6 separate regions of the Mus musculus genome follow, and all the other regions are reported to be linked to region 1. Evidence: microRNA targets listed by miRTarBase, many of them from high-throughput screens and not tested one by one. Region 1 holds a microRNA gene; each other region holds the end of a gene's coding sequence.

Region 1 (4,092 bases):
TAGAGTTTTAGAGACTGCAGTAGTGGGACAGTGAATGGTCTCAGTCACCAGCTGTAAATGATTGACAAAGTCTGGAGAATCAGGATTTCAAATTCATGATTAACTTCAGTTAGAGATTATCCTGGTATTCCTGTGATGCCACCCATGTATGTGCATGTGTGTTTACATGTGTGTGCGTGTACATCTGTGTAAATGAATATATATATATATATATATATATACATATATATATATATATATATATATATATATATATATATATAACATAAACATACATGTATATGGACACACGTATGCACACATACACACAAGGAATGGAATTCATTGATATGTTTGAATGATATGTGATTTTGAGCTTTAAAGGTTATGTAGTACTGGTCAAATGAAAGTTTTTCTCACTATGTAAAAGCTTGCCATATTCAGAGGGGTCAGGAATTCATATTCATAAATAAATTCAAAAGAGAGTAGAGATCAGCCTGATTTTATGGGGTTCCCCACAATATATTTGCATGTGTGTATAGTTTTGTGTGCATGTGCATGTGTGTATATGAATATACATATACATCCACACAAACATATACAAGCATGCACAGATATACACACACACAGAAATGGCACCCATAGATCATTTTGAGTGACATGTGACATGTGACATGTGAGTTTTAGAGAGTATGCCGTGCTGGGCCAATGAATGCTCTCACTCACAAGGTAAAGACCCTTGCCAGATTCAGGATGATCAAGAGTGTAAATTCATGTTGGTTGCATGATGAGTTGGAGATCAGCCTGGCATTCATGTGATGGCTCCTGTGTATGTGCATGTGTGTTTGTGTGTGCGTACATGTACATGTGTGTATATGAATATGCATATACATGAGAGCATACATAGACACACGTGCATGTGCGCTTGCATGCGCGTGCGTGCACACACACACACACACACACAGAGGATATGTGATTTACAGTCTTATAGATTATGTAGTAGTGGGTAATGAATGGTCGCACTCATCATGTGTAAACAATTTGCAGATTCAAGAAGATCAGGAGTTCAAATTCATGCTTAACTTCAGCTGGACATCATCCTGGTATTCATGTGATGCCACCCGTGTATGTGCATGTGTGTTTACAGGTGTGTGCATGTGAATGTATATATATGAGTATACATGTACAGACACATGCAGCACACACACACACACGAATGCCACTCATTGATCCATTTGAATGATATGTCACTTAGCATATTAGAGATTATGCAGTACTTGGCCAGTGAGTGCTCTCATTCTCTAGGTGAAAATCCTTGCTAGAGTTAAGAGTATCCCGAGTTCAAATTCATACTTATCCTCATGAGAGATCAGCCTGTGATTCCTCCATGCATGTGCATGTGTGTATAGTTGTGTGTGCATGTTTATGTGTGTATTTGAATATACATAACATACACACACACGTATAAACACAAGCACACACACACAGACACAAGAATGACACTCATCAATCCATTTGAATGATAACTGACTTAAGAGTTTTAGAGATTATGCAATAGGGGACAGTGAATGGTTTCACTCACCAGGTGTAAATGATTGACAGAGTCAGGTTAATCAGGATTTCAAATTCATGCTTAACTTCAGTTATAGATCATTCATGTGATGCCACCCATTTATGTCGATGTGTGTTTTCGTGTGTGTGCATGTGGATGTATGTATATGATTTTGCATATACAGACACATGCACACACATGCGGCACACACACACACACACAAATGACACTCATCGATCCATTTGAATGATATGTCACTTAGAGTTTTAGAGATTATGCAGTTCTGGGACAGTGCGTGATCTCACTCTCCAGGTCAAAATGTATGCTGGAATCAGGAGTTTTAGGAGTTCAAATTCATGCTTAACTTCATGATGATTTTAAGATCAGCCTGTGATTCATGTGATTCTCAGCCATGTATGTCCATGTGTGTATATTTGTGTGTGCATGTGCTTGTGTGTATGTGAATATATATATCATACGCACGCACACACACACACAAATGCAAGCACATACACTCTCACACACAGAGGAATTGAATTCATCCATTAATTTGAATGCTATGTGACTTATTCTTTTAGAGATTATGCAGTAGTGGGACAGTGAACGGTCTCACTCGCCATGTGCAAACATATTACAGATTGAGCAGGGTCGGGAGTTCAAATTCATGCTTAACTTCAGCTGGACATCATCCTGGTATTCATGTGATGCCACCCGTGTATGTGCATGTGTGTTTACGTCCCTGTGTATGCACATGTGTGTATATAAATATACATACCATAAACATACATGTAAATGCAAGCACACAAACATGGAATGGCATTCATTGATACATTTGAATGATGTGTGACATAGAGCTTTAAAGATTATGTAGTATTGGGCTAATGAAACTTTTTACTCACAATGTGAAAAAGCTTCCCATATTCAGAAGGATTAGGAGTTCAAATTTATGAATAACTTCAAAATGGCTTAGAGATCAGCCTGGCTTTATGGGTTCCTTCCCAGTGTATGTTCATGTTGCATAGTTTTGTGTGCTAATGTATGTGTGCATATGAATATACATATAAATACACACAAACACATACACACAGGCACACACACACACACACACACACACACACACACATACACACACACACACACACACACACACACATACCCCGAATGGCACTCATTGATACTTTTAAATGACATGTGACTTAAAGTTTTAGAGATTATGCAGGGCTGGATCAGTGGGTGCTCTCACTCACAAGGTGAAAATGCTTGCCAGAGTCAGGAGGATCAGGAGTGGAAATTCATTCTCAAATTCATGAGTCCAGGATCAGCTTCGGATTCTAGTGATGCCCCCAGTGTATGTGCCTGTGTGTATATGTATGTGTGCATGTGCATGTGTGTATATGAATATACATATACATACACACATACCCATACAAACATGCACACAAACACACAGAAAATTGACACTCATCGATCCATTTCAATGATATGTGAGTCTTAGAGATTCTGTATGACTGGGCCACAGAGAGGTCTCACTCACCAGGTGACGCCCCTTGCCAGAGCCAGGATGATCAGGAGTGCAAATTCATGTTCACTGCATGATGAGGTAGAGATCAACCTGGCATTCATGTGATGACCCCTATGTATGTGCATGTGTGTTTGTGTGTACATGTACATGTATATATATATTGATATACATATAAATACATGCACACATATTCATGCATGCACACGCACACATTAATGGCACTCTTAGATCCATTTGAATAACATGTGACTTAGAGGTGAGAGATTATGCAGTACGGGGACAGTGAGTGTTCTCACTCATCAGGTGTAGACAACTGCCAGAGTCAGGTCTATCAGGAGCTTAAATGCATGCTTACACTCATGAGGACTTAGAGATCAGCCTGTGATTTATGTGATTCCCCCCATGCATGTGAACGTGTGTATAGTTGTGTGTGCATGTGTGTATATGAATATATATAACATCCACACATGTATAAATGCAAGCACAGAAACACACAAACATAGGAATGGTACTCATCGATCCATTTGAATGATATATGACTTAGAGTTTTAGAGATTATGCAGTAGAGGGACAGTGAATGGTCTCAATCACCAGGTGTAAATGATTGACAAAGTCAGGAGGATCAGGAGTTCAAACTCCATTTAGAGATCATCCTGGTATTCATTTGATGCCACCCATGTATGTGCACGTGTGCTTACATGTGTGTGCATGTTCATGAATGTATATGGATATGCATGTGCAGACACACACACACATGCAACACACACACAAACACATGGTGACTTGCATTCATCTACTTGCATAATATGTGACTAAGAGTTTTAAAGATTATGCAGTACTGTGCCCGTGCATGCTCTTACTCAACAGGTCAAAGTGCTTGCCAGAGTCAGGCCTTAAAGGTATGTGACTTAGAGTTTGAGAGATTATGCAGGGCTGGATCAGTGGGTGCTCTCACTCACAAGGTGAAAATGCTTGCCAGAGTCAGGAGGATCAGGAGTGGAAATTCATTCTCAAATTCATGATTAGGTAGGGATCAGCT
Region 2 (4,092 bases), not on the chromosome of region 1:
AAAAAGTGGATTAAAATTCTGGAACATAAAGTAGAATTTATGTTTTTCCCAGTTTCTAACAGTGCACATCTTTGTCTTGTGATGCTGTGTAGAATTTAAAACACTCTACTGAGAGTTTAGCAAAGGTAAGCAAACTGAAGAATGGTAAGTGGCAGTCAAGCACAGCCAGAATCCACTTTCCCACTGAGGTGTCTTAATTTGCCTGTGGCAATCAGGATGCACGGTGTACAGAAATTAAATAATCAGTGCTCACAAACCTAGTATCTTGTTTCAATTCTGAGCCAGCTCCACCAAGCTACCCTCTGCCCCACATGTATGCCACAGCATGTGTTAAACATGTCATGCACACACAATGAACACATTTTCAAAACAGGTAGATAACCCATGTTATACACTTGAATATGTACCATTTTTATTTACCAATTAATGTCTTTTCCTTTTGCAACTGAGTCTTCCTGTGTAGGCCAAACTCAAACTACAGTTGCCCCACCTCAACCTTCAAGGACTAATTAAAAGTGGGCATCATCACACTGGCCCAATTAACTACTTTAAAAATAGAAAATCAATGAAATATTTTAAAAATAAAAAGAGAAAGCTAATGGTAAGTAGCATGTCATGTGAATGCTAAAAAATCGAGTTTAGTGCTTGGTGAGTTATTTTTAAATGCTTCTGTTCTAGACATCATATTAAATCACTACAACAATATTAAACTTTTCCTTTGGTTGAGGGTGAACTGGCAGAAATGAGCCCTTTTATGTCTTACAAGTGAGATCTGGACATAAATGGAGCAGTCAAAAGAACAGTCTTAGAAATTATGACCAAAGAATCAGGCACTGCCAAGAGACCAGAATTCAAAAGAATACTGTAGTGCTCAAGAATCGTGTGGCCTAGCAGCTATGAAAATATGAAAGAAGGAAGGAGTTCTAATGAATTTATAACAAAACCAGCTATTATTTATCATTCTTTCTAAAGCTATGGTAAAAAAAATAGACAGAAAAATATGTGTAAGTAGAACATAAGACTAATTTAAAAGAATTATGAACTTAAATTATGATTTCATATTTTCTGCACAAGAACAAGTGATTGTTTTCTTCATTTCCGTAAGTCAGCCAAAGCAGAATCCAGGGGTGACCTGGACGATTTAGCCACCACACATTCAGAATTGAAAGCATTATCACAGTGTCGGCTTCTGATCTCTTAGGTGTCGGGAATGTTTGTCTTGCACGGTTGCTATGGAAACAGTTGTCATCAATGTGTGTTTTCAATAACAGTGGACACTGAGTCATCCTTTGTTAACTTGAAGGCCACTGGAGAATGTCATTCATGAGAACGCCCAGAGATAACAGCAAATACACGTTCTTGGATCCCCAGAACCAACCCTTGCACAGCGCTGGGTCAGAAGAGGGCTTTCATCAAATATTTGCTGTTGTAATCTCTTGAATCTACCAGGGCTCCTGCTCTCATTGGGTTGACAACCTGGTTGGTTTTCTTTTGAAGATTCAGAGCAGCATCAATGTCACAAACAACATGGTGCTGAGTCAGAAGTACTCTGCCCTTTCAAAAGTGAAATGTATGAAGCCCAGGCTAGGAAAGGTCTCCCCAGGTGACCACCACCTGTGTGGTCTACAGAGTGAGTTCAAGGCCAGCTGCGGCAAGTTAGGAAGCCTGTCTCAGAATAAAAAAGTAACATGAGTGCTGGGCCTATCAGTGGTAGAGCCTCTGGGTTCAACTCTCAGTGTCACAGGAAAAAAGAGAAGCGCATCCTGTCCCGACATGCGGTAAGGGAGGCAGTATAGACGAACATCATGTGCTATGCAAAGCACTCTAAGCAAGGATTTGTGAGGCAGAGAAATCCTTTATTGCCACGGGAAGCAAGTTCACTCATCTCTTCAACAGTTTTAGGAATCACAAAAATGCAGAATTCACACAATAAAGAATAACACAGACTTAGGGAGAAATGGTCCCTTGGGTTATATTGGCTGTAATACTGAGGTAACCAATTGACCTTGTTCAGTGGAAGTATCTTAAATGAAATGAAGAACACCCCACTAGTTATAACATCTAATTTATATATACCATTCAAATAAAAATATATATTATTTGCTTTAATGTATAGCAAGTTTAATACATTAGTGTTCACAAGATAAAAATTGTATTCTACTGAAAATTTGTGTGTGTGTGTGTGTGTGTGTGTGTGTGTGTGTGTGTGTGTGTGTGTGCTTCTTCTCTATCTCTAAGCTTGGAAGTCAGAAAAGTATGCTACTTAAGGAGACTTTCTTCTGGATTTAAAAATGCAGGTTCTAGGTCCAGGAGAGACAGATATATATCAGCTGGAAGACTACTGCATCTTTTATAACTTGCAATGTTAAAATCTACGAACTTGAACTGTAAGACATAGTTTTTTTGTTTTTCGTTTTTGTTTTTTTTTTTTTTTAAAAGAAAAAGGACCACAAAATTTCTCAAAATAGATTAAGGAACACAGGAAACGGTTCATGAAAGTATAGGGATAATATCCAGTGCTGTGGCTAATATTAAAAACTGAACATTCTATTTAAATGGTATCACACTAGCTCTACACACAGTGGACAGTGAGACCACAATAATCAACCTCACGGTAGAAACAGAGGCACATGGTCCCTAAGATAGTTTTTAGTGGGCAAGGTGCTATGGTCCAATAGAATCATCTAGGAAGGGAAAAGCCTTGTAGTTGTAGTAAAGCTGTTTACTGGTGTTTCTACTGTAGAACTCTTCTACAGATCAAATTGAAAAGTGACTATCTATGTGACTGCTTAGAGCCTGTGGTGGTGCACACATCTCACCTAACATCTGGCCAACAGATTTCAGTATAACAGATTAGGAACTCATATCTATAACAGCATGATCTAAAGCAGAACTGAAAACAAGACACACATTCCATGTCCATTCACCCACATCATCCATCATCTTTATCACATTTAGGGCTATCTTACTATGCCTTAATTTGTTTAACATATTCTGAAATATCAATGTTTTTAAGTCAAGGCTTTTACACAATAACCCATTTATTTCATGTCCTCTGTCCAACCTTTGTTACATCTTAAGCAGCTGCCATAAATATAGCCTACCTCATTTTGGGAATGTTACTCCAATTTTTAATTTGTGCATTGATTAAACCAATGAAGGTGACATTATTTAGCGACAGCTACATATTTCCTATTAATCAAAATCAATGTTATCAAGTATTAAACACACAGTCTTCTCCTTGGTGTAAATTGTGTATTTATCTTCCATCTTTCTCCAGTCACCTTGCCAATAACTACATTGCCCAGACTTTCTTTCTATGATTGCAAAAGTTCTAATTGCTGACGAGTAACATTTATGGCAAATACACTTAAAGTAGACAACAAAATTTCAAGTAAAATGAATGGTATCCACATCTATTAGACCACAAGGTATCAACACCTAGACTTGTTTCTATAAATTACAAAGACATGTTGTACATTCTTAAATAGTGAATGCCTACAATATTGAGCCTTTCCACACAAGCAGCTTACACAGGAAGGTAAGTGGTCAGTGTCTGTTACATTGCAATGCTCTCTTGATTCCCTCTTCTGTGGTTGTTGTTTTGTCCTGATGTCCACAGACTACTGTGTGGGTTCTTATGCTTTGGCTATGGTCTGTGAGCTGAATGAGGCAACACTGGTTATTAAGGCTTAATCTATGATGGAGCATTATCCTTGAATCTGGTGCCATTTCCAGAGAACAGTAGGAGCATCTCAGCTATCTTGAGTCTTCAGGCTCTGTTTTAATAACTTTCTTTTCCAAGGTGAATGCAGAGTGAGGATAGTCTTTTAGAATCCCAAGGCTCTCTACATAAAACAAAACCAGAAAGAGTTTGGAATTTGAAATCAGTGGACTACAACATCAAGTTATTAAACCCCAAACTTCCTAGCAAACATTAACTATTCATAATTATGAAATTCCAGATGGAATTTTATTTAGTTGTTAAAAGCATGGGTTATCGCAACATGGTAGTGATGTATTTCCAGGACTCAGGGACGTTGAGGCAGGAGGTCTACTTCAAGTTCCAGGTCAACTTGGGCTATGGGCAGA
Region 3 (4,092 bases), not on the chromosome of region 1:
TCAGTACTTACTTTAAATGGTAACTATTGAGAAGTTCCTTTTGATAAGACGTTATTGTTTATTTACACCCAGTACTCTCACTTTAGGGCTAACATTTAATGTCCTCAAAGTAAAGGAACTTGAAGCTTACCTGCCTGTAAGAATGAGGGTCTCCCAAAAATCTTTACAAATACTGTTTCTGCTGTTCCATTAGAGCTGCAGTTAGGTAGCCCTGTGACTGCAGAGTAAGGATGGGAGGACCTTGGCGTATAGCTGTGAAGTAGGAACTGTGACACAGTGCTGTCTCTGGAACTGAGCCTCCTTTTCTTCCTACCAAGAAAGGAGGGCACCACATGAAATTTCCTGAAACTTAGTGCAGTGTTTCTCTGATTTACTGATTGCTTAAGTACTTAATGAAGGGCTGTCTTGTGGGTTTACAATAGATGAGTGGGAGGTTTCTATTCTGTCCTAGGACCATATTGGAGTAATATACTTAAGCTGCAGAATGATAGGGAGAAAGGTTCTAATTAGCTGAGTTTCCTTCATCAGCTACCGGTGTGCATCTTCCCATCGGGTGTAATGTCTGTTGTGTAATTTGTTTATAGGCAAGAACTAGTTGCAGAATTGGACCAGGATGAAAAGGACCAGCAAAATACATCTCGTCTGGTACAGGAACATAAAAAGCTTTTAGATGAAAACAAAAGCCTTTCTACTTATTACCAGCAATGCAAAAAACAACTAGAGGTCATCAGAAGCCAACAGCAGAAACGACAAGGCACTTCATGATTCTCTGGGACCGTTACGTTTTAAAATATGCAAAGACCTTTTTTTAAGAGAAGACAAACCATTATAACAGTTCATGAGTGTTAGCTTTTTGGCGTGTTCTGAATGCCAAATGCCTCTCTTTGCTGCATTTGTTATGTCAGTTACCTTTCTTCTTATGGTGGATATAAAATCCACTGTCGTGTTGCAGCAGATGATGGCACCTGTGGCTTGGGAAGGCGAGCGTGCTCAGCTTCAGAGCACATGAAGTGAACCTGGCTGTATGTGCATGCTCCTGGAGTGAGCTACCTAACAGGAGGGGGTAGCACACTGGCTACTGTGTGCAGGCATCATCCTTTCTCTGTAGTAAAAGGTGGGACCTCAAGAATTTTCTTCAAAGTGCTCATCTCAAAAATCTGATTTTTTTCCCAGTAGATGGTATGCTCCAATGTAAAGACAGGGTATTAAAATAACTTGTGGTACATTACAGAGGGACAGAATGTTGAGGCTGAGTTCAAAGACAGGGTTTGTGCCAACACATCCTGGATCAATACTAACTGTAGTCCCACCTGTTACTATTAAAGGTGAGTGGTGGCAGCTGTGCTTAAGGAGAGCAAGTTTACTGACTTTCGTGAGGTTGAGCATCGTCTGTGAAATATGAATGACATGCTCTTTTTACACCCTATGGATTTTCAATTCTGTGTGAAAACAGAAGCCTTTCTGACTTTTAATATTAGTAGCAGATGAAATTGAAAGATGATGATGTAGCTTAAATGATCCTTCTTGTAACCATTACTGAGTTGTTTTATGATATATTTGAAGAAAATTGAAAAATAATAGAGACACAAATCATTGGCCCAGCTAAAGGAGGCTTGAGCTGAGCTATCGGTCTGTTATACCAAATAAGGAACACAGCAGGCTAATCAGGAGGCCCGAGTAAGGAAGGCAAAGGAGGAAAATTAAACCCACTTTCGTAGCTACTCAGAGGACTTGATTCCTCTGAAGTCCTTTCCTGAGTCTGTTGCCTTCCCATGCTTTTAAGAGAATTTGAACACTTACAAAGAGAATATTTATATTGTTAACAATAAGTTTACTACCAACCTTCAAAATAACTTAAAGGTAATAATAAAATGCCATTAAAAAAATAAATCCCTAAGATCTATTTTTTCAGTCCATGTTAACACATTTTGATACCAGTGCATGAATGTCTTTTAAATTAGATGCCATCAGCTTCGCTTTTATAGTGTTCATGTTTGTAAAGAGAACATTTGGAATGGAAAGATGATCGCTGTGGTACTTAGATGTACATCTCGCATGTTCCTGCTCTGTTCCAGATGAGCACGAGAAGCTAGCGAAGGTGTTCTTTAAGGCTAAGACAGATAACCTTTTTCCTGTTATTTTTTTCCTCTCTGAGTTTTATAATGAATCCCTTCTGTATACAGTGAAGGTAAGGGAGAGTTTATAGCAAGATGTGCCTTCCTCAAAACCTGTTAGTAGAAAGCTCCTGGGAGCTAAATGTCTTCTTTCACTTAAATAAAAAAGATTATAGATAGCCTCAAACTCTATTAGGTGACATGAGTGCCGAGCTCAGCGTTAGTAGTGACATAAAACTGACACAGAAGATAGCTGTAGTCTGAGTCCAAGACCAACACCGCCTGCCACTGCTGCCTGTGCAGACATCTGGCACTCCACAGGAGAGCCATGGTCTCTGCTGTGCAGCATGCTGAAAGCATCTTGACTTCCCAGGAGATTCCACATTACATGGATGCAAGCTCATTTCTAGCCAGTTGTTTTGCAAGGTCTGCATCCTACAACTAAAAGGAAATTTTGTTGTCCTGGTCACTTGAAAGTATTCAAACAAGCAAATGGAAGAAAACACTGGATTTGCTCATGGTACCAGTGTTGAAAGATTGTTACTCGGTTGCTTGTGTATGCTCAGCTCCTTGGGGTTTCCGACACTGTGGTCCTGGACAGCCTTAAGTAGGTGCACTGGCACACTCACATGCATTTTTAAAGCTCCACTATCGCTGAACGTGAGCACACCATCCATACTTGAAATCCATACCAGTTTGCTCAATGTCTCAACCTGTAAAACCTTCAAATAACAACATACCAAGGAGCCAGATGGTCACTAATTCCTGTTCTACAATTTATTCAAGCCTCACTTCTTGGGTGAAGTAGAAAACAGGCAGACAGGTTTATACATTGATGTCCAAGAACCAGACAGTCCTGCACAGACACTAGTGGCATTTTGTTTCCATTTCCAGGAAAGGAAGCAAGGTTGTGCAATGTGGAGTGAAGTCCTCCTCAGCAGTAAAGCCATGCTCTAGGTTGAGTAAGTCAGTTAAGAGCACCATACTGCCATACTGAAAACATCTGCTTAGAGTTATTTACAAGTGGTTGGCTATTTTTTGTTGAAGTATTTTTTGAATAGCGAATGTCTTTTTCCTTCAAATTTCTGTCATTCTCCCAAGGCCCCCTCCTCCTGCAGCCAGAGATTACAGGTGGTTTTGTTTCTCCCTCCTTCCCTGTGTGTGTGTGTGTGTGTGTGTGTGTGTGTGTGTGTGTGTGTGTGTGTGTAGTCAACTCCTCTATTCACAAGCTAGTAAAGCTATCTACTTTTATTCCTGTCCAGGTATTTCTTGTAAGATGATATAATGCAGAAATTCTTGTGCATACTCTGTAACTGAAGGAGGCTTTTTTGATTTATTTTTGTCTTTAATAAAATTCAGATTGTTATTTCAGGCTGGTATGTAGGAATGGTAGCTGGCTTCTCTACACGACGACTGAGCTGTGGGTTTGCCCAGTGGTATTTACCTCATGCAGACCAATAGCTGAATCACCAGTTTCCTAGCATACTCAGTACAGTGTACCATAGTCATGCCAGAGACTGAATCATCGGACTGAGAGTCGGCTTAGCAGTTAAGAGCACTCATGTGGAGGACTAGGGTTCTGTTCCCAGCACCCGCATGGAGACTCCCAACTCTCTGCAACTCCAGTTCCGGGGTGGTCTGACTCCTTATGTTCCTGATGGTTCTTGTAAGCACATGGTGCATATATACTCAGACGAGCGTGCGCGCGCGCACACACACACACACACACACACACACACGTGAGAAAAAAAAAGTCCTCTTTATTTTTTCATGGGCCTTCATTTTTATGGAGTACAGCATAAAAGTGACTGACTTATCATTGCAAACTTCTTAATGTTTTTTCTAAGCTACAGTAACCATTTTGCTTTTATATCAAGTAACCCCCCCCCCCGCTTATAGATAACCACATATTTTTACTATCTATCCATTAGTTTCCTCGTTGCTTCAGTATTGATAAGCTACTGTTACTAATGACAAG
Region 4 (4,092 bases), not on the chromosome of region 1:
CTCTGTGGCTGTACTGACAGTGATCCTTCAGTCCATCCTCAGCTGCATCATAAACACCTTCATCATTGGAGCAGCCTTGGCAAAGATGGCAACTGCCCGGAAGAGAGCCCAGACCATACGCTTCAGCTATTTTGCCCTCATTGGTATGAGAGACGGGAAGCTTTGCCTCATGTGGCGCATAGGTGACTTCCGACCAAACCATGTGGTAGAGGGCACGGTGAGAGCCCAACTTCTGCGCTATTCAGAAGACAGTGAAGGGAGGATGACGATGGCGTTTAAAGACCTCAAACTCGTCAATGACCAGATAATCCTGGTAACTCCAGTGACTATTGTCCATGAAATTGACCATGAGAGCCCTCTGTATGCCCTTGACCGCAAGGCAGTGGCCAAAGATAATTTCGAGATTCTGGTGACATTTATTTATACTGGTGATTCCACTGGGACATCCCACCAGTCCAGAAGTTCCTACATCCCCAGAGAAATTCTCTGGGGCCACAGGTTTCATGATGTATTGGAAGTGAAGAGAAAGTACTACAAGGTGAACTGCTTGCAGTTTGAAGGAAGCGTGGAAGTCTACGCCCCCTTTTGCAGTGCCAAACAACTGGACTGGAAGGACCAACAACTCAACAACTTGGAGAAAACGTCCCCTGCCCGAGGATCCTGCAATTCTGACACCAACACCAGGAGGCGGTCCTTCAGCGCAGTTGCCGTGGTGAGCAGCTGTGAGAACCCAGAGGAGACCGTCCTGTCCCCACAAGATGAATGTAAGGAGATGCCCTATCAGAAAGCCCTCCTGACTTTAAATAGGATCTCCATGGAATCCCAGATGTAGCCCTCCTCTCCGACCCTTATCTAAGGGCCAGAAGCTGTAAGCATGATTTTTAACAAAGTGTTAGTTCTGTGATTTGGGACAGGAATAGAAAGCAGAGCAGGTTAAACTTGGTGAATTATTATCTAAAAAATCCACAATTTTACAATATTAAAATTTGGCTTTGGCAGTAGAGTTTGTATTAGGGAAGTGATTATGAAGCTTAATTGATTACAATTAATCTCATTATTGCATATACCTGTGTCTCCTCTTGAAGGTGAAATATTTAGGAGTGGGGGAAAAAGAGGCTGTTAAACCAGATAAATATAGAGAAGCAGATAAGCTAAATATTTGCATATAAAAATAAATTAATTATGGAATGAGAACTTATAACCGTATTGTATCACCTAAGCACAGCAGGTGAAATATGCCTCCGCTCAGAAACACTGAGATGAGAAAGTAAAACCAAGTGAAGTTTGAGTTTACCACATTTGCCTCTCATAGTATCTTGCAGACAGAGGTGTGGCTTTAGGAAAGTGAAAATGCTATCAAGTCAGAGATGCTTGCCTAAAGTGTTATTAGTGAATGCTGGAAGCCAGAACCAACCATGTGACAGAAGAAAAGGGACATCATTACGTAAATTAGTATTTCTCTCTTAAATACCTTGGTTCAACCGAGTCACTGGGGAGCAGAAGGGAGGCGGTGGCCTTTCTGTGTGCTCCCTGGAGAAGGTTCCTGTGCTCATAATCCCACTGTGCTCAAGCATTTGTGAAGAGGCAAGGTGGGATGCAGGAGTGGGCAGCAGCTGTGTGCATCCTCAGACCTTTGGAGAAGAGATGCTAGATGCTCTTGATTCCTGATCCTGAGAGGCTACAGTGTGGGTTGAGGAGAATTCAAAGAGATAGAACCTTTCCTGAAGGCAGAGGATCACAGTATGTATGGTGACCTGAGTTGCAGGTCTGAATACTTTTGTCAACAATGATGTTGATTTGATTGTAAATAAGAGGAATAAACTGAATATTATGGGGCTGCTTAAATTTTAGGACAAGAGATGCATGTTTATTCTCTGTCTTCACATTAAAGGATTAAGTTAATTGCTGATTCCTTTTTAGCACGAACCCAGCCACAGAGACCGTAAGCTTTATAAACTGAGGAATTATTAGCCATGGCTTGGCATCACTGGAGCAATTTTTTCCCACTGTTGCTGAGCTAGGAAGGAGGACATTATATGGCTGGTATTGAATTTAAGCACAAACACATTTTGATTCTTTTGGTGCCTTCTTTCTCTCTCTTCCTCTTATTCTCTCTCTCTCTCTCTCTCTCTCTCTCACACACACACACACACACACACACACACACACACACACACACACACACACTTAAATTTAATCCCATAGGCACACTGAACTGAATCACACAATTCAAGACTTCCAAGCTAAGTCAAATAAATAGATATTCTAAGGGGTCTCTTTTTCTTCTTTTTTTCTGTTATTTTTTTTCTCCCACTCCCTTTCTTTCTTTACCTCTCCCTTGTTACCCAGGATCAATACAGAATACAGTGTAACTTTTCTAATGCACATGTGTAGATAAATCTTTCGTTCCTGCTGTCATATAAATAAGAGATCTATCTGTTCATGGGGCATGTTAAAAACTGTCCTGGACTTCTTAATATCTGAAACCTAAATCATGTTTAACCTGCAATACTTGGGAATGGAGAATCCATTAGTTAAACCATAGAGCCATGTATTTATACACCCACACATCTGGCATGCACACACACACACACACACACACACACACACACACACACACACACACGCACACACACACGGTGGGGTGAGGTGGGTGAGACAGACACACAGAGAAAATTCGAATTTTTTAGCAGGAATTACTTGTCTAAATTAGAATATTACCCTTTCCAAGGCTGGAAAACATCGCTCTAACCATGCTTTCTCCACCAGTTTAAATTTGTTTTCCTTCAAGGCAGGTACAATCCAGTGCACCAGGCTTCCTTTGCTCTGTCCTCCTATGACAAGATCAGAATGGGGTGGCGGTGGTCAGGGATCACAGGTCTCTGATTAAACAGATTCTGGTGCACTGTGTGTTCATACACAGAGTGAAACGTGTGGTCCCATGCATCTCTCATCTTCTGTGCAGATTTATAACATGCTTTGACACGCCTGATGGCTTACTTAATAAAGATCTTAGACTGGTGCAAATGCTGTGTACATCCCTCTGCTCCCTGTAAATGTCGATTCTGCTTCCCCAAACTGAAAATGGTGCCTCCTATAATTCATGAGACACTGTTATGGGGCTCTTACCAGTGTGTGGAGCAGCCACACCTAAAGAGACAGTCACTTCTATGAACAGCACAGACTGGCTTTGTGCAAAATGTACTTAGTCTCCATGATGAAATGGTAAGGTGGGTATTTAACAAAGGTCCTCTTCATTGTTTTGTTTTGTTTTTTTCCCCTCACAAACAAATTCCTAATTGGGGCAGCAGTGTGCTCAGGTGAGACCATGCAACAGTGCCCCTCAGTTTCCCTTTCCTCTGGTGGGAGGGGAGCTCGGGTCACAGATGGTATTAAATAGCTGCATTCTGGGTCATGTTGTTATCAGTGCAAGTCTCTCGGTGTGACTTTCACTTTTATAGAGGCAGATTTAGCAGGCATGCATCTCTTCACTCTCCCTTGTCACCCCCTTTCCCTCATGAACTTCAAACTTGACGGCTGTTGGCTCTGCAGCCATGTCATAAGTGAAACACATCTCCTGGAGACAGAATGGAGGGACAGAGGGACCATAACCTCCACGTGCAAATGTCTGTGTAGTCTGAAAAAAATTCATCCGTGCATACGATATACGTGTGCTTCGGTCACATTCATTTATCGATTTCTTCCTCTGTTCCAGATCCCTCCGACATACCCTCTCCAGACTTCATGCTCTCTTGTCTTTTTTAACCCATTGGGCCCATTTACCACTGGAATAGGGACCACCCACCAGAGACATGAAAATAAAACAAACAAACAAACAAACAAACCCCAGACTCTCTCTACTCCAGTAGCTGTCGGCTATCAGTAGTCACTACTCGGCTGGATCTAGCTTTATGCAAGAGTAAAAATAAACACTGTCTAACCATCACAGGGCAAATCATGTCTCTAGGGAATGACTTTGAAAACAGACAGGCTAGAAAAGAAAAGAAAAAGATGAACAGCTTAAATCCAGTTTGCACTTGTATATGACATTTGCTGTATCTGGTCCCCGTGGAAATTACATATTTTCTTGGG
Region 5 (4,092 bases), not on the chromosome of region 1:
AGGGCAAGCTCTGCAGGCCCTGGGGCGTGAGTGTTGATAAGGAGGGTTTCATCATAGTGGCTGACCGAAGCAATAACAGAATCCAGGTGTTTAAGCCCTGTGGTTCCTTCCACCACAAGTTTGGTACCCTTGGGTCTCGTCCTGGGCAGTTTGACCGACCGGCTGGGGTGGCTTGTGACGCCTCCCGCAGGATCATAGTGGCCGACAAAGACAATCATCGCATTCAGATCTTCACCTTCGAGGGCCAGTTCCTTCTTAAGTTTGGTGAGAAAGGCACCAAGAACGGGCAGTTTAACTACCCGTGGGATGTAGCAGTGAATTCTGAGGGCAAGATCCTCGTTTCAGACACCCGGAATCATCGCATCCAGTTGTTCGGACCGGACGGGGTCTTCCTGAACAAGTACGGCTTCGAGGGATCTCTCTGGAAGCACTTCGACTCTCCACGGGGCGTGGCTTTCAACAATGAAGGTCACCTGGTAGTCACCGACTTCAACAACCACCGGCTTCTGGTTATTCACCCTGATTGCCAATCTGCCCGCTTCTTGGGTTCGGAGGGCTCGGGCAATGGGCAGTTCCTGCGACCACAGGGTGTGGCTGTGGACCAGGAAGGGAGAATCATCGTAGCCGATTCCAGAAATCACCGCGTGCAGATGTTTGAGGCCAATGGCAGCTTCCTGTGCAAGTTTGGTGCTCAAGGGAGTGGCTTCGGGCAGATGGACCGCCCCTCAGGTATCGCGGTCACCCCGGATGGATTGATCGTCGTGGTGGACTTTGGCAACAATCGAATCCTCATCTTCTAATTGTGTCTTCTGGGGTTTTCTGTGTTTAGGGTGTGCATGTGTGTGTCTCTCATTTTTGAATTTCAAAGAAGAAATCGTCTCAGGGATATTTCTTTTTCTTTTTCCCCCCCTTTATTTTTATTATTTTTTTTTTTTTAAGAACAAAAGTACAACATTGCCTAAGTCCTACCTCAGCTTAAATTTTTTTTTTTTTTTTTTTTTTACAGATGAATGTAATTCTCCTCTGTGCAGGGCTTGAGCCTGTGAAGTGATAATTTCTATCTACCTCAACTCTTTGCATTTCCCTCTCTGGCAAGCCTCTTGGCTCACATCCTCTTCCCTCCTGAAGGCCTAGGAGGCACAGGACAGCGGTCCTGCAACCTTGAGGGCACTGGAAGCATATGGTGGGGTGCATGCATTTTGTAGATTGAGCCAAGGAAACCCAAAAACTACTAAGTAAAAAAGAGAAGTATAAGATGTTGGAAAGATAGGATTTAAAATTCATAATTGTAGTGTATTTGTGTTCTTGAGAATACTGTGTTTATGTGGGGTTAGGTTGTGTGTGGTTTGCTCTTTTCTTTTTTATCGATGCAACAGGGCTTTTCTCTGTTTACCTCAGTGTGTCTGACATCTCATCCCTAGGAGATATGGCTGTGGCTTGCTAGCCTAGAAAAGCAGACCATTCATATTTTCGGGTGTCTCATCTTTGTATCTGGTAAAGAAGGGTGGGTGTGTGGGAGTGTGTGTGTGCACACGCGTGCATGTTTGTGTTTCAAAGCCATCTTTGCTTGAGGAGAAAAGCTGGACTTGACACAAGACATCCCAAGCAAATTTCTTCCCAGTTTGCTAAGAAACTCGATTTAGCTCAGGACTCTAGGTTGAAAGTGTTCGCAAAGGTTACGTGTCTGTGTTTTTGTTGTTTGTTATAAAGACTTAGGTATAAGAAAATAAGTTAACCTTGTTCTCAGAGAGAGAGGGGCTTTTCAGATGTGGACCAGGGTGCCACAGAAGTGGGGGGTGCTGGAGAAGTGAGGCACCCCCACATCAGGGACTGTTCAGGAGGGCGGGGGACCTCGTCTCTATGTGTGAGGGTGTGGTAGGCAAAGGGATAGCTTTGATTTGAGAAGCACAATGTTTTTTCCTGCTTTGGAAGTTCAGGGAATGTAGAAGATTGTCTGACTGGTGGGAGCACCTCACTCCCTAACCCTTGGCTCAGGTCTGTTTCTCAGGAACCTTCCCTAAGTCTGAGTGGAGGCAGACCTCAAGGTTAACACAAAGCCCCGTTCCTCCCCCAAAGGCCTTTGAATGTAAAGGATTTACAAACCAAACCACCCAACAGGAAGTGTAGGACACAGTATATGTCTTTTTTTTTTTTTAATTTTATTTTATTTAAAAAAAGAAAAAAAAAAAAGAAAAAAACCTGTACCAAAGAATAGAAACTTGGGGGCCTGTGGCTCCCATCCCATTGAAGTCTGATGTATTGTAAGCCACAGAGTGGGCCTTCTTGACATTCACCTCTGAGAATGAGGGCCCATCCCGGTTCTCTGGTTCTCTGTATTCTCACTACTGAGCTCAGACCAGATTTGAAAGAGGACAGAAGACTGCCCAACATAGATCTAAAACCCAGTTTCTGACCCCCATTGCACGGCAGGAACTCCACAGAGGAAGAGGCGGTGGGGACAGGATAAGGGCTCAGTCGAATTGCTTTGGGATGCTCAGTTTGCCTGTGTGAGCTACGACGTTCCTTCACATTCACATGACTTGAATTTCAGGATTTCGGGGTGATCTGAGTGTGGCGGCGGGTGCTGGGGGGCGGGGGGCCGTCTCAGCAGGGAGAATAGTACACAATCAAGGAATCCCGAAGGTAGCTTCAACTGCTGATCTCCATGTTTCTCGGGATGTGAAAGAGGGTTACAAGCTCCTTTTAAAATTTAATAGTGGGTCCTTCCCCAGTTTATATATCCCTTTAGCCTTTATTATGTCACTTAAGCGTTAAACTGATTTTTAAAAATTTTGTAGAACAGGACAACCCAGGAGGCCTCACCCCGCCCCCCCCCCGCTCCCCCCCCCCCCCAATCTTAAACTGCCTTTAAACACTCAATAGAACTAGCTTTACATTCTTAATGACACTAATTGAACAAATGAATCTTGACAACCTTCTCAGAAACCTGATTTTAATTGTGGCTGGGGAAAGCCGATTTTCAATGCTAAATTGAAGTCATGTTCAGTGTTCCTCCTCACAGCTCTCCTGTGGCAGGAATATTGACTGACTGACTGTTCAGTGAGAACTTTTTTTCTGGTGACTAACAAAATACTTGACATTTTACTTAGGATCTGATAACTCGGCCCAGGTTCCCATCTTGTGGTTGGGTCTTGATCAGTACATGGATAGACCAGTGTGGGCTTAGAGCACAGCAGATGTGTTCTTAGAGGTCTGTGGCTTTCTATATCCAGATCAGTGTAAGGGCTGGCTTCTAAGGAATTGTGATCATAGTTGGAGAACTTTTGTTTTTAAAACAAGTGGCTTATTGTGGCCGCCTGAGATTGGACTCCTAGCCGGTGGGGGAATTGGTGCTAAGCACTTTGGAGAGTGTACCTTGATATGGACTGATCCATATCATGACACCAGCCATGTTTGGTGAGCACCTGCAGCCAGTTCTGAGGTACGACAGGAAAGAGATTCAGGAAGGAGACACCGTGGGTGCTGGCTGGCCGGAAACCTTCTGTCACTGCGGTGAGCGACTGACGGGTAGCGGTCCCTGGTCAGGTGGCAGGGGCTGGCAGGAACTGGCAGGAGCTGGCAGGAGCTGGTGAGGGTGGGTACCAGGAGATTCCCATTGGAAGTGAAGTTTCTTAAGTTTGAGTATTAACCACCTGGTTGCCACCTGCCTAACATTCCAAAACTATAATCATCTGAAGGTCATCACCAATCTATCACTTTTGTTCATGAGAAGTCTCCAAACCTGTACTCCGTTATGGCTGGCAGGTAACTCCTTATCTTGGTTTGAGCCTAGTAGTCTAGGCTGTTCCCCTAGTGCACTAAACTTCCTCCAATCAATACCCTTGTTAAGTCTAACTTACCTGGGGAAGCACACAAGGGTACCCTAAACAGAACTGGACAGTGTTGGGCCATAGAGGCTGCCGGGATGAAGACACTTTGGATGGTCCAGAGTGTCTCGGTGTAGTTAAGCCAAAGCTTAATCATTTGAGTTGGGAAGTCTTTTAAGCTTGAAGCAGCACAATTACTGTCTTGTCTGTGTGTCTTCTTGGGTTTGGAAGATTCTAAGGTTGCTGTGTTCTGGTAGGTATTAAA
Region 6 (4,092 bases), not on the chromosome of region 1:
GGACAAACAGCTTGGTTTAGAACATGGCTCATGCCTAAAAGGCCCGCTGTGTAACAGAAACTGATGTGTGGGAGGGAGCCCCGGACTTTGATGCATCAGCAGACTGACTGACAACTGGGCTTCTAGCTCATCTTCTGATTACATGCATCAGGTATGTGTGAAGCTGCTTAGTATTAATATATTACTAATATACTCTCATTCTCTTTTCAGGAGCAATATGAATTCTGCTACAAAGTGGTACAAGATTTTATCGATATATTTTCTGATTATGCTAATTTCAAATGAAGATTCCTGCCTTAAAATATTTTTTAATTTAATGGTCAGTATATTTTGTAAAAAAAAAAAAAGAGATCATGTTAATTTATTTCCTAGTGGATATTAATATCCTTCCTAATTCCTTTGTATATATTTTGTTATGTTCTAAAGGCTACCTGCTGTAAGGTTATTAAATTGTAAATGCCCTTTTTAAAAATTGGAATAACATGTTAAGGTCAAATACTATCTGGAAAGATATATATTTCTGCTAACACCAGTCAGTATCTTAGTTCTATTAGATTCATGTTATGTGGTGTCCCACATCAGGTGTCACATGGTGTCACACATCATGCATCTGTAAATGTAGTTCTTAACATGTCAAATGTGTTTGTGAGAAGACACTAACCCCTGAAACCCCCTGTGGAGAAACCAGTAGAGGACTCCGAGTCAGAGCACATTTACTCTCCCCACCAACTGTCGCACCCAGGGCATCGGAATGTGGCAAACAGTGTGCATGGGGGCTTTGGTAGAGTCCTGGGTCTCAGCCATGTGGTCCATCCTTGCATTTGAAAGATCAGAGTGGAAGCAGACACGGCAGTGCATCACTGCACTGCTAGCACGTGGGAGGCTGGGGCATAAGGATTTGGTCCAGGTCAGGCCAGGCCAGCTTGGGCTACAGTGAGACTCTGTAACACAACAAACAACAAACACCCAGAGGGTTTTGAAACCCAAATCCAGGTCTCAGATGTACAAGGTGTAGATGGTGGTGACTTTCCTATGAGTTTTAAAAGGCATTCATGAGAGGCTGTGTAGTGCCACTGTAGGCTTGATAAAGAGATGTGTTATACCAGGCCATCTATTCTCACAGGCCTCCAGTACCCTCCAAACTAGCCATCTGAGCTGTGTTCCTGGAACCACTTGCTGCCTGCCTGTGTGCCTGGCTCAGAATCCACTCAAGCTCATTCCCAACGGCCCGCCCACTGACACAGCTGCCTGTACTGACCCTAATTGGGCCTACAGGCTCAACCACAGCTGCACACACACACACACACACACACACACACGGTAGAATGGCCACAAACTGTTGCACTGTCAATTTGCTGATACTCAACCACAGCTGCACACACACACACACACACACACACACACACACACACACACACACACACACACACGGTAGAATGGCCACAAACTGTTGCACTGTCAATTTGCTGATAGCCATTTCAGGATGTCAGATTTTCTTTGTAAAAAGTTAAGATGGTTTGTAAGAAAGGAATTCTTAAAAATCTAGATTTGTACAGTTTTTTTCTTAAATGTCCCACCTCTTGGTGTTTAATTTTTAAAAATGAGAGGGGGGGAAGATCCTAATCTAACTTACCTTTGGAGGAAAGGCTGCTGAGACCTCTGAGTTCAGGTGGCAGTGACAGGCGCACTGCCTGAGAGGGTAGGTTAGGAGGAGGGAGAGGAGGAGGAGGAATGTAGAAACATTGACTTCAATAAAAATTATCTTCCTATGGCATTTAGATACCTAGCAAATGAGCACAATGTAAAAAAAAAAAAAAAAAGACATCTGGTCTAACTCATTGAAGGCTTTGAACACAGTTTGGGAACTTTTTTTTTAAACTTTTTAAAAGAGAAATGAAAATACAAAGGCCTTATCTCCATGGAGGACTGATCATGCTCGCCTATTGCACAGTTTGTTCTTGTTCGTGTACAAGGGACAACCCCAGGGTCTGTCACTGCTTCATACAGGTGAACGGGTCACCACGCTTATCTCAAGCCCCGCAGCTCTGAGTGTCCCATCCAGAGGCACAAGCTGGCACTCAGCATGCAGGATGAAAGCAGACAGTGGCCACTGTCACCACCACCACCAGCTGCAGGCAGGGCTGGCTGCCTGTGCTTTGTGGGAGCTCCCCTTCTCTGAGCAGCCTTGGAGCACAGGCAGAAGATGGAAGATGGAGGAGCTTTCCCTGGCCAGTGGTCTCATTTGTCTCCATCTTAGACCCAAGCTCAACGCCTTGCTGTAACTGAAGCGGGACAGAGGGCAGTAAGCCCACTAGAATTAAGGTGACCTCACATGGGTCCCAAGCCAAAGTTCGGCCACGCACCTTGGCACCCCAACTTAGTTACTGGTCCTTAGAATCCCAGGCATCTCTTGTATCAAGAAATGCCTTAGGGTAGATCTTTTCAGGATGTCTAGAAAAGTATTCTAATGAGTGTTTTTCCTCACCTTGGGGCTGCCCCAGGTTCTCCTGCAGGCAGAGACCCTGCCTGTTTCTAAACAGCTTGTCTCATTCCAGAGAAAAACAGAAGCCACGCTCCTGTGGGCACAGTTGGGGCAGCACTTGTACTTTGGAGGGGCCAATCCCTCTAGTCTCTTGACTAATGCCATAGCAAAATTCAGCCTCCGTAAGACACAGAGCCTCTGTGTACAAGGGGTCTCCTAGGGGGAGGAGGGCGGTCTCAGCATCTTCTCTGTGTACCTGGCATGTCCTTTTCTTCTTCCTTCAAAGAAGCTCCGGTGTTTATGACACCGACAACCTTCTTAGTTCTCTGTTGCATGCGGTTGTGCTCAACGCCAAACAGTCATCAGAGCTGAGCGTTCTGATCAGGTGCGTCTCTTGGTCACTGTGTGACTTGCTTTACTCTCTCTCCATGGGCTGGATGAACGAGGAATGCACACCTGTGTTTTCCAAGGTAGTTTTATGTGTTTTTAAAACCTTTTTAAATGAGCCTGATACCTGTGTTTCAGCATTTGGCCACGTTGTTGGTTTTTGTTTTTCATGTATATTTACTGATATATTTTTGTTTGTAACCAAGTCATGTTTAATTTATGTGCAATCTTTATAATATGTGTATGTGTTATGGTTCCAACTCTCATATATTATTCCTTGATCACATTTATCGTTTGATCTTGCTCTGATTATGCCAGTGTATGTCGCTGAATTCTTGAGACATGTGAACTGCAAGATTGAAAACATCCGGATTCGAGAATAAATCTCTGACTACCAGCCTGTACCTGTGCTTCTGTCTTCCCATTTAAGTGTGTGTGTGTGTGTGTGTGTGTGTGTGTGTGCACAGAAACATGTGGAGGCCATAGGACAATGGTGAGTGTCAGCTTTAGGAATACTGCCCACCCTCTTTAAGAAAGGGATTTTCACTGGTCCGCAGCTGACCAACTGGGCAAGGCTGGCCAGCCAGTGAGCACCAGAGATTTTCTTATCTGAACTCCCCAGTGCTAGGATTACAGAAGTGTGACACTATTCCCATTTTCTTTATGAGGATTTGGGAGACTGAACTTGGTCCTCATGCTCACAAGCCAAACACTTTACCAAACAAACTATTCCAGTCCCACTGGAGGTCTTTAAAATGTAGGTCTGAGCCGGGCGGTGGTGGCGCACGCCTTTAATCCCAGCACTTGGGAGGCAGAGGCAGGCGGATTTCTGAGTTCAAGGCCAGCCTGGTCTACAAAGTGAGGTTCAAGACAGCCAGGGCTAAACAGAGAAAACCTGTCTCGGGGAAAAACAAAAACAAAAAACAATAAATAAATAAATAAAATAAAATGTAGGTCTGACTTGGCCCAGAAACAGCTTCTAAGGGGAGGTGAGCGCTGGAGCCAAAGAGGCATTAGGTCTTAATGGTCTATGGTAGGCAGGTATCATACAAGAGGCACAGACTTTGACTACCAGTTCAAAGAGTTCATGTTCTGTCAGGGTCCAGGGAGGACCAAGCCTGGAAAGCTGAGAAATTAGCTGTGATGAAGAGCCCGGAATGACTGAGGTGGAATCTTTGTCTGAGTCCTGGCCTGGAAGTTCCCTGTTCAGGACATCATATAAA

The links. Region 1 holds the annotated microRNA mmu-miR-466h-5p (UGUGUGCAUGUGCUUGUGUGUA, at 1,969-1,990, shown strand). A microRNA usually pairs through its seed, bases 2 to 8, with sites in the 3' UTR of a target mRNA and lowers its output. Matches are read on the target gene's strand: a 7mer-m8 pairs with bases 2 to 8, a 7mer-A1 pairs with bases 2 to 7 and ends in A, and an 8mer does both.
Region 2: miRTarBase lists Nab1 as a target of mmu-miR-466h-5p. Seed matches in the 3' UTR shown: 7mer-A1 at 2,214-2,220.
Region 3: the mRNA of Map3k7 is a reported target of mmu-miR-466h-5p. Seed matches in the 3' UTR shown: 7mer-A1 at 3,824-3,830.
Region 4: the mRNA of Kcnj16 is a reported target of mmu-miR-466h-5p. Seed matches in the 3' UTR shown: 8mer at 2,578-2,585 and 7mer-A1 at 2,627-2,633.
Region 5: miRTarBase lists Trim71 as a target of mmu-miR-466h-5p. Seed matches in the 3' UTR shown: 7mer-m8 at 1,528-1,534.
Region 6: miRTarBase lists Ptpre as a target of mmu-miR-466h-5p. Seed matches in the 3' UTR shown: 8mer at 1,289-1,296, 8mer at 1,374-1,381 and 7mer-m8 at 2,932-2,938.

What each region holds. Positions count from the first base shown.
Region 1 is chr2:10,512,933-10,517,024 of GRCm38, forward strand. It overlaps Mir466h (microRNA 466h), which reads left to right and starts at 1,959; the gene lies at 1,959-2,039. All of the region lies in intron 10 of Sfmbt2 (Scm-like with four mbt domains 2), which reads left to right. It overlaps Mir669m-2 (microRNA 669m-2), which reads left to right and starts at 502; the gene lies at 502-599. It overlaps Mir466n (microRNA 466n), which reads left to right and starts at 809; the gene lies at 809-902. It also overlaps Mir669o, Mir466g, Mir297a-3 and Mir466l.
Region 2 is chr1:52,455,459-52,459,550 of GRCm38, forward strand. Nab1 (Ngfi-A binding protein 1) reads right to left here. Exons shown (of 8, transcript NM_008667.3): 8 at 391-3,848. The coding sequence ends at 3,760. Among named protein-coding and RNA genes, the nearest start is that of Gm23460, 13 kb to the left of the region's middle.
Region 3 is chr4:32,018,917-32,023,008 of GRCm38, forward strand. It overlaps Map3k7 (mitogen-activated protein kinase kinase kinase 7), which reads left to right. Exons shown (of 16, transcript NM_172688.3): 16 at 585-4,092. The coding sequence ends at 765. Among named protein-coding and RNA genes, the nearest start is that of Map3k7, 57 kb to the left of the region's middle.
Region 4 is chr11:111,024,942-111,029,033 of GRCm38, forward strand. Kcnj16 (potassium inwardly-rectifying channel, subfamily J, member 16) reads left to right here. Exons shown (of 2, transcript NM_001252209.2): 2 at 1-3,027. The coding sequence ends at 832. Among named protein-coding and RNA genes, the nearest start is that of Kcnj16, 30 kb to the left of the region's middle.
Region 5 is chr9:114,509,353-114,513,444 of GRCm38, reverse strand. It overlaps Trim71 (tripartite motif-containing 71), which reads left to right. Exons shown (of 4, transcript NM_001042503.2): 4 at 1-2,177. The coding sequence ends at 800. Among named protein-coding and RNA genes, the nearest start is that of Ccr4, 15 kb to the right of the region's middle.
Region 6 is chr7:135,683,022-135,687,113 of GRCm38, forward strand. Ptpre (protein tyrosine phosphatase, receptor type, E) reads left to right here. Exons shown (of 21, transcript NM_011212.3): 21 at 211-3,273. The coding sequence ends at 285. Among named protein-coding and RNA genes, the nearest start is that of Mki67, 31 kb to the right of the region's middle.